Linked DNA regions of Coturnix japonica. The protein of the gene in region 2 interacts with the protein of the main gene of each other region in a pairwise test. Links are inferred from orthologs where the notes say so. Each region holds a gene or a part of one and is shown on either strand. Other genes may lie near its edges.

Region 1 (8,015 bases), on a different chromosome or scaffold from region 2:
ACTGAGCTCCCTTTTGAGATCATTAGCCATGCTTTCTAATGATGTGCATCTGTCCAGACAGCATGTGGATGTAGAATCAATGAACTTCAAGGACAGAGAGTTTGAAATTTCTCTAGTGCCAACTTAAGCATTACAGGCATGTTGGTTTTTATACCTCCTTTTTCAGGACAGGCCATGAAGTTTAAGATTACTTTAAATGTTTGACTTTAAATGTTGATTATGGAGGTGTTCTAGATATATATATTTTTTTATGGCTTCAGTTATTTCCTTTTGTTTTCATAGGACCCCAGCTGAATGCACAACTAGAAGGCTGGCTTTCTCAAGTACAGTCCACAAAGAGACCTGCTAGAGCCATTATTGCACCGTAAGTTTGAAGTCCATTTTTGGTGTGTATAATATTTGGTTTGTTAAATACATACTTATTCTGAGTGATTTTTGAGAACTGGGGAAGTCCTGACTGTAGCTGAAAGAAACGTCATGTGGTTTCTCAATAATATTTAGAAAATGAAGTGGAAGTGGCATAAACCCATGATCATCTTGGTATATGATCAGTTTCCTTTTGCAGGTGGCTTGAAGAAATAATCTTTTCCTTGTGATCCTCTAAGATAAGAGGTAGCCTAAGACGATGACTCTTTCAATGCAGTTATTGCATTGAACAGCTACGTGTATGTTTATTTTTGAAGTCAACAAAGAGAAAACCACTTTGCAAAGCTAAAAATTGTATTGAAACATTTTTCAGCAATCCAAAATGGTTTACTTTTGTTGGGTGCTTTTTTGGTGTATTTATTTTTGTTTTGGGCTACAGGAGAAACCATCTCAGTTATTTAGGTAGAACTAAGTTTAATGACATTAGTGAAGGCTTGTATATATAAGAAAGGTATGTTGATTATTCAAGCTTGTTGTGGGTAGGAAGGGGATACTAGAAAATGCACCTTAATTAACTTCTGGTATTTCCTGTTGTAACCATAGTGTTAACATAACATTAGAGGTATTTCATAATAGTACTTAATCCATGGAAGAAACTGTCTCAAGTCTACCATGGTCTTTTCTTGCGGGAATATCTGGAGAAAGGCTTTCTAGCTGCGGCTTAGATAAAGATAAGATTTATTACTTAGATCTGTGCTCGGGTTCATAAGAAACACAACTTGCATTCCTAGATACGTGAGAAACACAGACTAGGCCTAACTACGAGCCTTAGCATGACTACTGCTACTATTATTTAAAGCACACTGTAACAGAGATGCTTCTGTGGCCTTGCTGAATTCTTCATTCATCTGTGCCTTTGTTTTGGCACCTGTAAAGTGGAACATGGCTAATACAGTTTTTGTGAAGGACAAAAACTTGCATCAGAGGGAACCTTTTGAAGGCTGTGTTAACCTTGCTGATTCACCCTGTCTCCCTGTTATCCACTTAGTCTGCAGTAGTGGAGCATTTTGAAGTAAAATCTGGGAATAATTTTGAGGATAACTTGCTCCAGATATCATCTGTATGTGTGCATCTTACTGCATTCCACTCCCTTATGCCTATTTATTCTGTTGTTGAGGTGGTTTTCATCATTGACTGAATATTTTTATTCTTCTTTCTGTTTTAACAGTCTGCTTTTGACAAACTCTTCCACTGTCCTCCATGTTCAGTTTACATGTATCTGGTTAGGAAAACTTCCTCCAACATTGTATTATTTCCATGTCTAGTGGTTGCACTCTCAGCATTACTATGAGCTTCTGATAGTATGCAGTTGTACAGAGGGCCTACTATATCTTTTATAAACAACAGAAGGTGCTTTGATTAAGGATGCCTATTTAATGTTTACTGCTAGCTCTTCTACAAATACATCATGCATGCATTCAGTATTGCAATAGTGCTCTTCAGCTGTTCCATGGGATGTTTTGAGGATTATTCTTGTTATTTCTAGTTTTTAGGTGATAAAGATGTTAATGTTTAATAGCAGTGTGAATGTGATGTGCATTGTACAAAAATGTTCAACAGAGTTAATGCTGTTTAACTTGATTTACAGCCATGCAGGATATACCTATTGTGGATCTTGTGCAGCCCATGCTTACAAGCAAGTAGATCCAAATATTACGTAAGTATTAAACTCTTCTTTAGGAATCTTAAGATGAGGTCTAGGAAGTGTTCTTTGTTACCCTTATATTTTTGGTTTTTTGTATACTGAAGTATTTGATCACATTCTGCATTGGTTATTTAGTGCAGGATTACAAGCTGAATGCTACCAGGATTGTCTTCTGCTATGGAGAAAAATAACCATTGTGTGTATATAATACTTAAAGCCAATGAAAGTTACTTGTTGTAATAGTTTTAAATGGACTTGTGTTACTAATGGCAGAGACTCAAAAGCCCAAAATTAAAAAAAACAAAACACCAACAACCAACAACACCAACAAGAAACATCCCCCACTGTAGTTTGTGTCTGCATCTAAAGGTATAAAGAGACTTTATTCTAGAAAGAAGTATAATTCTTTCCTGTTTTGACAGCAACATTTGTTCAATGTGAATTTTAAAACATCTCCAGTATTTTCTCACTGTATGCATCTTGCAATGCCAGTCTAAAAACTGGCTCTGTAAGTTGCTTAGAAGATAAATGTTGTGCTCCCAAAACCAAAACCAGTGTTAGCATACACTCTAAACTATTGTAAAACAACGTGAAGATAACTTAGTTTTAGAGAGGCCAGTTCTCTGTTACACTAAATCGAGTTGCATTCCCCAAGTTCAGTGACACAGTGAGTTAATTGAACTTTCTGGATCACTTGATGTTTTATTGCATGGGATGTCTAGAATTCACTAGAGTGTAATTAATCTTTCAACTGAAGTATTGTACATTTGGATTTTTTGCTTGTATGAGCTCTGTAAACAGGTGTAGTATTTTAGTATTGCTTTTATTTCGCATGCAAGAGAGAAGAAATAAAGATATTTTCATGTTTCCACCACTTTAGTTCAGTGCAGATGTGATCCTGATTCTGAAAAGCTGAATTTCCTGTAGATTTTTCTAAAGTTCTGTGGCAGGAGAGTTAAGCAAGAGCCAGGAGCTGATGACTTCATGAAATAATACCATGATGGGTGAAAGATGGCAATATCTGCTGAGGCTGTGAGTGTATAGATCCAGATCCTTGTTCTTAATGCAACAGCTGGGCAAATAAACCAGTTGAGGGTAGCTTAAAGTGGAATTTGGTATAACTTGAAGTAAAGGGTAATCAAGTAAACTACTGAACAGCTCCGAATAGGTGATAAATCTATAATCCTCACTTGAGAGTGCATACCTGTAATTGTTGACCACATATAAGTGAAGGTTGAGTTAGATTTTTCAATTTACTCCTTTGATCAAAGGGCTATAATGTATAATTCTGCCTTCAGATGACCCCAGTCAATTGCTAGTTGATTAGTGTTGGTATATAATCTGTTTGAGAGGTTTAAAGCTATGTGAAGCATTATTGCACCGATCTTAGGACTGTTTCTGAGTTACTGAGTGAGGATCAGGGATTGATCTGTGGTCTGATGCATAATAGAATAAAACTCTGCTGTTAACCACCAACTGCTCAAGTATTGCTTCATATGCCAGCATTTTTTTTAAACTTGTTACTCTAAACAAGCCTCTGTTCAATTGCTGTTGTCTAAATTCTGGGCTTCTTGTTTGTCTGTTGATTGTTGTAGCCGAAAAATTTTCATTCTTGGGCCTTCCCATCACGTGCCCCTTTCCCGATGTGCACTTTCCAGTGTGGACATTTATAGAACACCTCTGTATGATCTCCGAATTGACCAAAAGAGTAAGTGTGCAATAAAGCTTACCTGCTGTTGGCTGCTGGGGCTTCAGAATTAGCTGCGGTGGTGCAGTGCTGAGGACCATTATAGTGCTGGGCATATCATTGCTCTTCTGTGGCATACAGATGTGAAAGTTTTACTCCAATGAAAGCTAACTTCTTGAAGATCCTAACATATTAAGGTCTTTTTGCTCCAGCATTCTCTGAATTATTCTGTCTGCAAAAAACCACAGTGTTTTAGTTGGTTTGAATGTATTTCTAATGAAGGAACAGAAAACTACCTTTATTTGGCTGTCCCATTGCATGTGACTTTTTTTTCTTTTTTAATTAGTGTAGTACCTACAAAATTTAATGTTAGTCCATGAAAGACTGGTCTTCGAGAGTAAGTTTAAAGATGCACTGAAGATGGCTGTGATGTTCTGAGTCATATAATTTTCAAAGTATATCTAAACTATACTTTTCAGAAGTGCTTGTTAGCCAAATTTGTTGCTGCTTCATTATCACTGATTAACTGAGCCAGATCAGGCTTCCTGCATGATGCCTGTAAAAACTTCCTTAGGTGCCAAATATTCAAGGTTTTGCAGAACGCCTTTATGTAATGGAGAACAAGGCAGAGCCCTACGTCAGTCTACCCACCGAGTAGAGCTTCCTAATGCAGAGATCACTGTTTGCATACCACCAGGTTCACTTAAGAGAATGAAACATAGCTTATAGGTATGCATTACTTAATCAGATTTTGCTGTCTGATAATTCAGTTAATAGTAAACTATATTAAGTAGTAATACATCCAGCAATGACTCAGCTGGTCAACTTCTCAAAAACAATGTGATGGTGTAGTTTGGGAAAATAAGAGTTGAAAGACTAGGCACCTGCATGTATATTTTCTAATGTTCTACTATGCCATGAAGTTTCATTATTAGATCTTGTAGCATAGCTGAAAATCTCTATACCAACAAGGTGACTGATTTAACACAACTTTATTCTGTAAATTAAATAGTTTATGACTTGAACGTAATTTTAATCTTACGTTTATGTAGAAATCAAGTGGTTTATGTTGACAGTTCTTGGAGACAAGTAGTTTGATTTATTGGGCTTGTTTCTGATAATGGTGCACTACATTTTGCTTTATTGTTTGTGTGTGGGGAAGAATGATACAAATGATTTTTGATTCATTTCAGTTTATGGAGAACTGTGGAAGACCGGAATGTTTGAGCGTATGTCTTTACAGACAGATGAAGATGAACACAGTATTGAAATGCATTTGCCTTATACTGCTAAAGCCATGGAAAGGTACTAGGGCTATTTACTTCTTGTACAGGAACATACATGATGTGCATTAAAATGCAGTTGAGACATTTACCGTACAGAAGGAAGAAATAATATCTTTGTAGAGATTTTCCTACCATAGTCCCCCATCCCTCAAGGAAAACCTTGGGGAGGAGGGGTCAGAGACGAGTATTATTTGCTTGGAAGAGTAGTCTGCATTTGGGCAGTACTTGTACACAGAGATTTTATTTATTGATTTCACTTGTTTTTCTATTTTGCAGCAAAAATGCTGTTTTGGGGGGGGGGTTGTATTTTGAAACTGAAGTAGTTTGAGGTTTTAGATTAACTTAAGAGTATGATCTTATCAAGTGAACTGTGTCTCGAAAACGTCCTTTTAAAACATTCTGCAAATTGTTAGCAAGTCTTAAAACACCTTAAGATGACAGTTAAATTACAGCCTTTTTTCTTTTGCTTATAAGCCATAAGGATGAGTTTACTATTATTCCTGTGTTGGTCGGAGCACTGAGTGAGGCAAAAGAGCAGGAATTTGGAAAACTCTTCAGTAAATACCTAGCTGATCCTAGTAACCTCTTTGTGGTTTCTTCTGACTTTTGCCATTGGGGTAAGTTTCACATCTCTTTATGACAGCAGTATGATTAATATTTTGTATTCACTTTTTAAAGAACGTCTTTCATTAAATGCATTTTGACATTTTAACTTTTGGTAAATGTGTATTTGAAACTTAAATATGTTTGTAAAGCTGAAAAAAAAAAGTTGGAGCAATAGACAAAACTAAAATGATACTACAAAGTGATACTATGTTTTTCAGTGTAGCAAAGAGGTGGGGAAGGAATATGGGTTTATAAACATCTTTTCACTTGCAATGGAATGTCTAAAGTTCCTTGCTTTTTTTTGTTGTTGTTTTCTTTTTTACTTTTAAACATCTCAAGGGATATTGCAAAAGTAAATAGTTAAAAATTCACTGGACATGTCAACATCCCTTCAGAAATAAGTTTTGTATTTTTTATTGCTGAGTAAGATAGCAAATGGCATAAATACTCCAACTCAGCTGAGTTATTCCAGTTCATGGTGACAGAACTAGATAGATTCCAGAAGCCTAGATGTCTGTCATTTTGCTTTAATGCTTTGTTTTCCCTTTACTGTAACAATAGCCGGAAAGGGGAACTGCTTCACAAAGATGTTTTATGTTACACAACAGACCTTCTTACTTTTTATTCATGGTCTCCTTTGGTCACCTTATGTAACAAAGTTCATGTTTTACTCATCTTTGAACTGTGGAATAGGTGGACCTGTGTGACCTGTGTTCAGCTGCGGCCAGTGAGCCATCTAGAACCGTTTAATTGAATTACCCTGAACTTTTTCTTATAACCTTCATTTGCAGTGGGTGTTATTGTGTGAGCAGTAGCTTGACTCCAGGGTTGACTTTATATCTGAAGAGAAAAAGCGAAAATAAATGTTGCTTTACATGTAAACTTATAGAAATTGAGTCCAAGGCATTAACAGGCAGTTAATAAGCGACACTGCAGTGTCAGATCTACAGAACAGGCTTTTCTTTTTAAGTACAGCTGCCCTTCTCTTTAATTCTTTCACTTGGCTTCTGGGCTGCTTCTGTGGTAGCCCTAAAATTTTCTCAGTGGATCTAAAAGATGTAAAGCAAATGGAGATTACAACTTACAGATGTTACAGTTTCGATTAATTTGTAAGTACTAGGGAGTGTTTTAGCTTCAAATTTTCCCTTTTTTATTTTATACGTGATTTTTGTTTCAAGGTCAGAGGTTCCGTTACAGTTACTATGATGAATCCCAAGGAGAAATTTATAGATCCATTGAGCACCTAGATAAAATGGTAAGTTTTCAGATTTGGTGGAACTAACTAACAAGTTTCTCCTGTACTTTACATTACTTTGAACACGTCGGAAACTTCTCTAACAAAGTGTTACAAATTGGCTATTTTATTGGCTGTATACTTTTCCTTTGCTTACCAGAACTTAGCTGTGGTCTTTTACTAATATCTTCTGTTCTACTGAGTGTGCACGGTACATTGTGGGTGTAATCTAATAAGCATAATTTATGAGAATAAATGCATGTTTACCTACTTAGAGTTTCCCCAGTGAATTCCTATCCATGTACCTTCTTATACGTATGAAAAACAGTAAAAATGATTAAATGTTGTGGTAGTTCAGACTTGATAGCTATGTTACCTGCATAATAAAACAGCTTTGTGATCTTTGTGATTGTGTTAATGGTTTCAGCATCTTCAATTATGAAGAGAAAAGGCTGTAGGGGATTGTGCTCTTCAGGAAAACAAAAGTCCCTGTTTCTTGGGGGAGCAGTCTTACCTCTCTTCTACTCTGTAGCTGTTGATGAGGGAAAAATGCTAGGCCATACTGTGTGCTATGCTTGGCAAATGGTTGGAGACCATAACGCCAATTTTGATACATTTTCTTTGCAATCTTAGAAGCCAAGTATTTCCTTTTAAATAGGGAAAAAGGAATAATTGTAACCTTCATTGAGGTTAACTCATATTTAACTCACAGAATAGAAGTAATTCTCCTGGAAACACAGCTTCAATTCAGTTCAACTAAAAGTACTGGATCATTTCTGTGACTCTGTGAATATGTTGGAAGAGAAAGCTATTGTTATTTAGGGAGCATTTATTTATTATCTTTTTTCTCTTGCCTGAAATGAGTAAAATAAGAAATATGTTGGAGAGAGCTCTGGAGTTTTTTCCTTTGTGTATCTATATTGATGTCTTTGCTTTTCACCAATTGCTGCTGGAATAGAAGCAGTAAATTTGCCTTTGCTCAAAGCCATTTTTACTAATTCCTATTGTCAAATGAGAGGTTTGTCTGTGTAGAGTCCCAGAACTTGCAGCTCTGCGTGTTTTTTATAGGAACATGGTTTAAGGTGAGTAAGCAAACATAGTTTCCTCTTGCTTATTTCTGCAAAGAAGGCT
Region 2 (8,015 bases):
CAGCTTTGCAGCCCTGGCACGGACTTACTGGGTGCAGTGATGGTGGAGCAGGCGTCTGCGTACTGAGGGCAGCTGTGCGAGCCCTGCTTGTTGCAGTCGTTCTCGTTGGATGCGACGCATTTGTGGCATTTCAGTGCTGCACCTGCACAAGGGGAGGCAGTGCTGAGCCCTCTGTGTGCTGTGTGCATCGCGTGGGTGCAGCCCTGTCCCAGGTACAGCAGCGTAAAACCTTCAACCTCCGTCCTTTTTTGTGCCAGAGCAATGAGCGCCTGTGCAGGTGGGGTTTAGTGCACGCGTGTGCCATGCAGGCAGCTTCCCCCGTGCGTTGCACTGCACAGAACTGCACCCATTGGCACTGCACTGCAGAGGGGTGATGGATGCGTGTGTCACAGCAGTGCCCCCCCCTTATAGGAGCTCACATATAGAGCCCTCCTATAAGGGCTCTATGCGGGTGGAGGAGCCCCGACCCTGCGCGGCTGCGGAGATCCCACTCAGCTCAGGAGCTGCCTGAGCAAATCTGAAAGCACCGCTGTCTCTGCGTGATAATGAGAGCCCTGAAATAACAGCGCTGCTTTGAATACGTGCAGACGGAGCACCTCCGAAAAGCCCCGCTCTCACCCCATCAGGAGGAGCGCTTGGTTGTTACAGAGGTGGTTGAATTAATGCTTAACGTCGGGAGGAAAACGTCCACCCTCTTTGCTGGACGAGCAGAGCCCTCTCGCGGCGCTTTTTCCTCTCTTGGAAAGGAAAAAGTCCCCACGCGTGATGGGAACGGACCCACACCGAGCACGGGGTGCGTAGCGGTACCTCTCACTGCTCTGCCCACTACAAACGCGGCTGCATTTCATCATCCCCTCGGTGCGAAGATCCCAATATCAGCGTGAGATGAGTGCAGCCCCGGCCTCCCCCCGCAGCTCAGCGCCCCTGCGCCGCGCACCCATTGCCTGTCCTCAGTCCTACACCGGAGCAGGGACTGTTCCCTTCCATGGCAGCTGCAGTCACTTACCATCCAACGCCAGGGAGGTGACGATGGTCAGAGCCAGGAGGGTCTTCAGGGGCGACATTGTCAGCAGTGCTCGCCCGTGGCACATAGCCTCTCTTTTGTCCCGAGGTTTTATGGTAATCTGCTTGGGCGATTGGATCTATGGGCTGAGGATAACGCACTTAGCAGCCCGTCCTAATGCCACCTGAGCTGGGAGGGGACACAGCTCCAAGGGCAGGAGCTGCCCAGGGGCACGGCAATGGGCACAGCACAGCCCCGAGCCATCCCCAGGGTCCCTAACACAGCCCCAACCCCATCCACACACATGAGGCAGAATCAGGCCCAACCCAGGGGATTTATCCCCTCACCACCATTAAAAACAGCATGAAACCTTTCAAGAGTGATAAACACCATTTTTACTCAGGCAATGAAACATGGGGGGGGAAAAATATATATATATATTAGTAATCATCATAATAATCTCCTTTGTGTGAGTATAACTCTTACAAATATTTACCTGACATATAAAAGGGAAATTACATACAAAATCAAGGCTGATGGCAGCGATGGATGGTGTACAAAGTGAGCCTGGTAGTAGTCAGCACAAAGGGGGGGGGGGAGGATGGAGGGATGGAAGCAGGGAGCAGTCAGGGTGGGCACTCGTTGGCACTTCACTGCAGACATAAGATCTAGGGGCAAACTCACACACAGCAACACTGCGTTCATGGACACTGCTGCTGAAAGGGACACATCATTTCTGCTGCAGGAAAGGTGGCCACAGCTGCAACAGGGGATGCAGCAGTGTTGCCCACGTGAACTTAAAATACGCCTTCTGTTATAGGTAACTATGGCTGGTATGTATATATTTATATATATGCAACTATAACCATATTATAGTTAATAAATCATTCCTTAGGAATCTTTGCCCAGACTGGACGTGCACGCTGAGAGGCACAGAAATGCAACAGCACGCGGGTGGTGGAGGCAGCAGCATGTGGACAGCAGGAGCAGAGCAGTGTGAGGATGCTGCCACATCGTATCACTGCTGCGGGTACAGCTCTGCCTTCCACGCAGCTCCGTGCTGCAGGAAGCATCACAAAGATTTGATCTCGCTGTGCTGGCATCGCTCCTGGCTGCCACCAGTGCCCTGCAGCCACGCTGGGGCTGGGAGGGCTGCTGTGGAGCTCGATACATAGGAGAAGAAGGGAAGAGAGTGGTGCCAGGCTGCAGCCACCACGGTGCTGGTGAGGGGAGCTGTGCTGCAGCAGGTTGTGGTTGGCAGTGTGACAACCCAGCAAAGGAAAGAGGGGGAAAAAAGGGGGTTTTCTATTCTGTCAGCTGTGCAAAGAGGTGAACGTTCAACACAACACTGCAGGTGCACAGCATCAGCCATCAGCCCCTTTGCTGAGTCAGTGGGAGCCGGGTGGGGACCCTGCGTGTGCCCGAGCTTTGTGTCTATATAATAAATCCTTTCTAATAGATAACTAATAAAATATATCTCCGGTGTATGGCTCTGCTTTAACAGATGTCTGCACTGCATGCGGAACGCAGGGGTTAGAAAATAGAAGGAAAAACAGCTCAATTTCTTTTACAAAAAAAGGTAGCAGCAAAAAGGTTTGCTAAGGTTTTAGCTGGGCTAGGTAGGAAACAGTCCAACAGCATTTATTTCCCTTATCTGACACCTCAGGGCTGCCTGTGTGTGGTGAGGGAAGGAGCCTCAGCCCTTCTGCTGGGCTCACTAAGGAGTAACCACCTCCAAAAGCAGCAGGCAGCCTGCATGGAAATGCTGCCTGGATCTGCCTTTCCCTGTAAAGGGCAGCTTTGTTTGCTTCCCTCATTACGCAGTGCTGCAGGGGGACTGGAGAGAGCAGTGCAAGATCCAGAGAGTGACTGCTGCTCTGTGCCTCGCCGTGCTGAGTGGGGAAAGGAGCTCCAAGCAGAGCTCCTTCCCTGGTGCTCCAAACAACAGCCCTTGGTGCTGTGCCATGCAGCACGTGAGGACAGTGACAGCACATGGGGATGGCCACCTTCACACCTGGGGTGCAGCAGCCACACGTGTGCTTTCTGCAGGGTCGCTCTGGGGTAATAATAAGGCAAAGTGCTCGAAGGTAGGAGAAAAGCAGCCGGGTGTGGAGCTGGGGGTGGTGAGCTCAGTCTGCCCTGCCCAGCTTCGCGATCAGCTCGTCGCAGATCTTGGTCAGCTCCTCGATCTCCTGGTTCTGGAAAGGAAGCAGGACCCTGTGGTACATCCCTCCTCATCCCCTCATGACCCCACTCCCTTGATCCTCAAAAGCACTTTCTGACCCCAAAACAGAGAGAACAGCTCCAGCACCAAAGTGGAAGCACAGAGCATCCCCAGTGTGCTGGCAGTGGACGTTACCTTCTGCTGCAGGGCTCTCTCCAGGGACTCCACCTTCATCTGCTCCTTTCTCAGCCCTGCATGCAGAGCTGCGCTCTCTGCTTTGGCCTTGGTGCGCACCTGGGCGATCTCCTCGTTGGCTCTGCATGGGGAGAGATGGGGTTATGGGGTGGGAGTTCTGTGGTAAGGATGTTGGGTCATGATGTTCCAGCAGAGCCCAGCTCCTGCACGCTGCAATGCATCAGAGGTGGTTTTGCTACTGCTGCATGGAGGTGAATGCTCATTACTCAGGGCCAGGCATGTGCTGCCCATCCTCCTGCACCTCACAGCTCTTACTTGTCCAACTTCTCCTCCGCGTGGACCTTCAGGGCCTGGTATCGCTGCTCCTCTTGCTTGACACGGTTTAAATAGTCCTGAGCACACTTCTTCAGGGCTTCTTCATTCTGGAAAACAAAGTATATCCATCTGCACTGGGACCAAGCACAGCGTGCTTCTCTGATGACAGATCTGCATGGGACAGGGTGGGGGCAATGCACAGCCCCCATAGCTGCAGGGATGGGGGAGGACACCGAGATCAGGACCTTCTTAAAACCTTCCAGGACACCCTTCAGGTTTTCATATCTCCTGAACAGATCCGATAGGGACCTCTCCACAGAGTTGAGGTCTGCCAGCGCCTGGTCCTTCTCCATGGTGAGCTGTTGCAGGTTCTTTTGGGAGGTCATATTTGTCCTCTGCTCATCCTCTGTGAGGGGAACAAACAGGGATGTGGTGACTGAGCACAGACAGCATTGCCCTGCCCCGCAGCACTGGGACCTCACCTATCATCTGGGCAATGGTCTTTTCATACTCAGCCACAATTTTCCTGCAAAAGAAAAAGAAATAAAAGAACAAAAGTGAGTAGGAAGCAGCAGTTCCCGCAGACACACACCCACAGCTCTGCTCCAGCACGCTGCCCTGGGCCCCAGTGCTGCAACAGCCTGGGCACCCCCTGCTGCTGCTCCCAGATCCCCTCCATCCGCAGCTAATGGGATTTCATCCCCACAACAAACAAACTGCAGGCTCAACACAGCGCAGGCACAAAGCAGACATGCCTCGCGATGTGTCCCACCCCAGTGAAGCAGAACTGTGTCATCCCATTACGGCCCCACAGACAAGCAGGGGGAACATGAGCGCAGCATCCCACCGGGCAGGGGTCCCACCTCATCTCCAGGACCTCCTGACGACTCTCCTCGTACTTCTTCTTCCACTCATTGGCTTCGATCTCCTTTGTGATTATCTGGGGAGCAGCAGAAGGAGAGCTTGGCTGTGCTCCACCATCACGCCCACCCCCATCCCTCCATTGCAGAGCAGGACAGGGCAGCCCACACTGTTACCTCCTCCCGGATGAGTGTGAGCACGGCCGCCTTCTCGGAGGCGTTCAGGCAGATGCTGTCCAAGGGGCTGTCACTTCTGCTGCCACTGGTGATGGCTGTGGGGGGTTTGTCTGCCAGGCACAGCATGGGATGGCCCTGCATGGGAATCACCCAGCTGGGTGTTGTCTTTTGCTCATCTTTTCTCCTTGGTTCCCATGTTTGGGGTCACCCCCTCACTGCCCCTGGGCCTGCACCCCAAAGAAGAGGCAGAGCAGGGGCAGACCCAGCTGTAAGCTGAGCTGTGCTCCCATCCAATGTCACTTTGCTTTGCTCTGTGTTTGGCTCTAGAATAGCTAGGGCTGCACCATGGGGGTGGGTGCTGGGTATGGGTGGGGGGGTCCTGTGGGTGAATGTCCCCAGCAAAGCACTCCTGCACCACACAGCTCAGGCAGCTTCTTCCTCCCTCCACTGTCTCTGCAGCAGTGCAGCCCCTCACAGTTATCTCCTTGGAAACGGGCTGTGAGGCCATAAATAGCAAAGTGCTGGGAGAAGGCAGCCTGGTTCTGCAGTGTTTTGGAAACAAAAGCACTTCTCTCCCCTCTCCCTCTCCCTCTCCCTCTCCCTCTCCCTCTCCCTCTCCCCCTGCCTGGATCCACCCATGATGGAGCTGTGGGCAACCACTTTGGACACAGCCCCAGGTCCAGGCAGCCTCAGCAACCTCCTGCAGCACCATGCACAGCAGCTGCACAGCTCTGCCTTCCCCACAGCTTGGGCAGCCTCAGCAGCACCAAACACAAGGTTCACTTTGCCCAGTGTCCTTGTGGGGCTTAGTGCAGTTAAATCTGTCTCAGAGGTGCTGATGTTGCTGATGTTGCTAATCTCGTTGTCACCTGCTTGTCAGCTCTGGGTAGAGGCAGCTCTGCTGGCACAGACCCCCCCCCCCACACACACACATCACCATCAGCCCCACAACCATTCAGCAGCCCCAGCAGAGCCACCCCAAGGTGACTGTGGGCAAACAGGGGGAAGGAAGCATCACTCACAGGGAAGGCAACAGATCCATCCTTGTCCGTTTGCTTGGAGAGCTCCTTCTCAAAGCCTGGAGACAGAGAAATAAAATGTTTTAGCTACTAGGAAATGAGACCCTGGCAGCACATGCAGCTTCACTGGGATGTAGGTGTACAGTGCATGGCCTGAGTAAACCTGGGTAGGCTTTCTACCCTTCTCCTGCCCTTGAGGGGAGGATACATCCCACATCCCAGCTGCAGCTGCAGCCAACACTCCCCTCTGGTGGCAGCCCAGCTTCTGTTTGTTCCCACAGCTGTCATATCAGTGATGCTGAGGGAGCAGAGATGTGCAGTTATGGAATCCCTCCCCTATAAGACAAAGTGCTCTCTCAGAGCTCTGCAGCTCTGAGCAGCATTCAGGGGAGCTGATTAATGACCAGCTGCAAGCCCTCCATGCGGCCATTTCTGCTGCTTGCACCTATAACTCGCTATCGATTAAGTGCCACATTGCCTGGCTTTTAATTATTTCTTAATAGATTGGTCACAGCAGATAATCACATAGGAGACAGACAGCAGGAGCAGCAGTGTAGCCTTCAGCAGTGACCTGGAGCTCTCTATTAGCAGGCAGTGTGTGCCGGCAGCTGTGCTGGCACAGGGTGCACCAGGAGCAAAAGCAGAGCAGGATGGAAGCTTTCAGTAACAGCCCTGACTTTGCATTTGTGTTTTCATTACTGAGCTCAATGCATTTTGAGAGGAGCTGGGATGCTGGGCTCAGCAAGGCAGGGAATGGGCTGTGGGGCATTCTAAAGCCAGGATGCTCCAGATAAAGAGCACACTGATTTTTCCATAATGAAAGCAATGTAGACAAGCAATACATGGCACAAGCACTGCCAGGGGCAGTGGAGATGCTCCCTACCTGCCTCCATGCCAGGCTTCACCGCTGGTACAGGGACATTGGAGCACTCAAAGTACTCCAGGTCATCCTCAGGTTCTCCCTTCTTCTCCAGCCCGGCTGCTTTCTGTGTGCAGGAGGTGGATGCCAACTTCTCCTCATCAGTGGCACGTCCATCCCGAGTGGCAACGTCTGGGATTTCTGAGATCAACGTTCCCTCATCCTGTGGGATCAAGGCGTGCAGGTTAACAGGGCAGAGCTGAGCTGCAGGGATCAGAGCTGGGCTGTGTGGATGGGCAGTGGAGGCTCAGCATCCCCTGCTGCTCCCACCCACCTGAGCACAACCATCCAGCACCAGCGCCGGCGTCTCGTACTGCTTCACCTTGCAGCCGCTCCTGCAGACAGAAGGAAATGGACACATTAAGCTGGTGCTCATGAGGGCCAAGGAGGGGACAGCAGAGGTGCGTGCGGGACAGCCCAAGCGAGGGGAGGCAGCCCCAGCACCAGCATTGCACCCATAGCAAAACCACTCACCAGTGAGGTACTGGAGGGCCAGAGTGAGTTCTGGAAGGAGCAGAAGGAACAAGCAAACAAAACACACAGCTACAGAGAGATCGGGTTTGTCTTTGAGATGTTTATTGCTATTGGAGGGAAGGAGCACAGAAAGCACACGAGGTGCTGACGGCGAGAGAGGATGTGACGAAAGGTTCCCCTGCTGCATCTGGCCTCCATGTCCAGTGCAATGGTATCACATCTGAGTGCACACTGATTTCCTTGCAGGTGGTCCTGTGCCCAACAGAGACCTGTGCTGCCCCATCCCTACCCACATAGCAGCACCCACATCCCTGTGGGTCTGAGCAGCTGGGCAGAGCCCTGCTGTGCTCACAGGACAGCACTGCTGTGTGTTGCAAACACTGGAGTAGAAAGCCTTGAGGAGGGCTGAAGGCTGAGTTCAGGTCGCTCCTGCAGTGATACATGGCTGGTGCTTCTTCCACAGGCTTCACCCCACATTCCCAAATGCCCCGTTCCAGTGGCAGGGCTGCAGACTCAGCCCCAACCCAATGTGTGGTGCTGCTGTCCTGAATCAGCTGCAGGCAGAGCAGGGATGCTCACAGAGCCCCAAGAGGAGGGTGCACGCAGCACCAGGTCCGTGCCACCAAAACCAGCACTGACATGATGCATGGGGACACATTTCCAGCCCCACACCAGAGCTGCAGCCATGCAGAGGTCAGAGCAGATTTGCAGCAGGACAGCCCTTGGGTTGAGAAATTCCATCCCTGCCTGCTTCAACACACCCATGCTCCAGCAGAGCAATGTGGTATGGAACATCTGCAGGCTGCCATGCACGTCTGAATCAGATAAAGTCCACTCTTGGCTCTATTTTTTAATAGCACACCTAAATGCAACCAGTGAACCTGCAGCT

What was found. The genes of interacting proteins can lie anywhere in the genome.
Region 1: the proteins of TACC1 (region 2) and MEMO1 interact in binary tests that used the Homo sapiens proteins (3 or more experiments, as listed by UniProt). The two-hybrid records come from large-scale screens. The link is inferred for Coturnix japonica from reciprocal best matches to the Homo sapiens genes TACC1 and MEMO1.

What each region holds. Positions count from the first base shown.
Region 1 is NC_029518.1:30,310,884-30,318,898, forward strand, and holds part of MEMO1 (protein MEMO1), read left to right. Parts: intron 1-282; coding exon 283-364; intron 365-2,014; coding exon 2,015-2,083; intron 2,084-2,995; exon of another isoform or gene 2,996-3,068; coding exon of another isoform or gene 3,069-3,103; intron 3,104-3,666; coding exon 3,667-3,779; intron 3,780-4,951; coding exon 4,952-5,063; intron 5,064-5,518; coding exon 5,519-5,661; intron 5,662-6,828; coding exon 6,829-6,905; intron 6,906-8,015. UniProt on the Homo sapiens protein: May control cell migration by relaying extracellular chemotactic signals to the microtubule cytoskeleton. Mediator of ERBB2 signaling.
Region 2 is NC_029537.1:3,767,459-3,775,473, reverse strand, and holds the end of TACC1 (transforming acidic coiled-coil-containing protein 1), read right to left. Parts: intron 6,988-8,015; coding exon 6,927-6,987; intron 6,816-6,926; coding exon 6,617-6,815; intron 5,793-6,616; coding exon 5,737-5,792; intron 4,850-5,736; coding exon 4,715-4,849; intron 4,618-4,714; coding exon 4,541-4,617; intron 4,204-4,540; coding exon 4,160-4,203; intron 4,084-4,159; coding exon 3,923-4,083; intron 3,785-3,922; coding exon 3,678-3,784; intron 3,484-3,677; coding exon 3,363-3,483; intron 3,202-3,362; coding exon 3,133-3,201; 3' UTR 1,379-3,132; downstream 1-1,378. UniProt on the Homo sapiens protein: Involved in transcription regulation induced by nuclear receptors, including in T3 thyroid hormone and all-trans retinoic acid pathways. Might promote the nuclear localization of the receptors.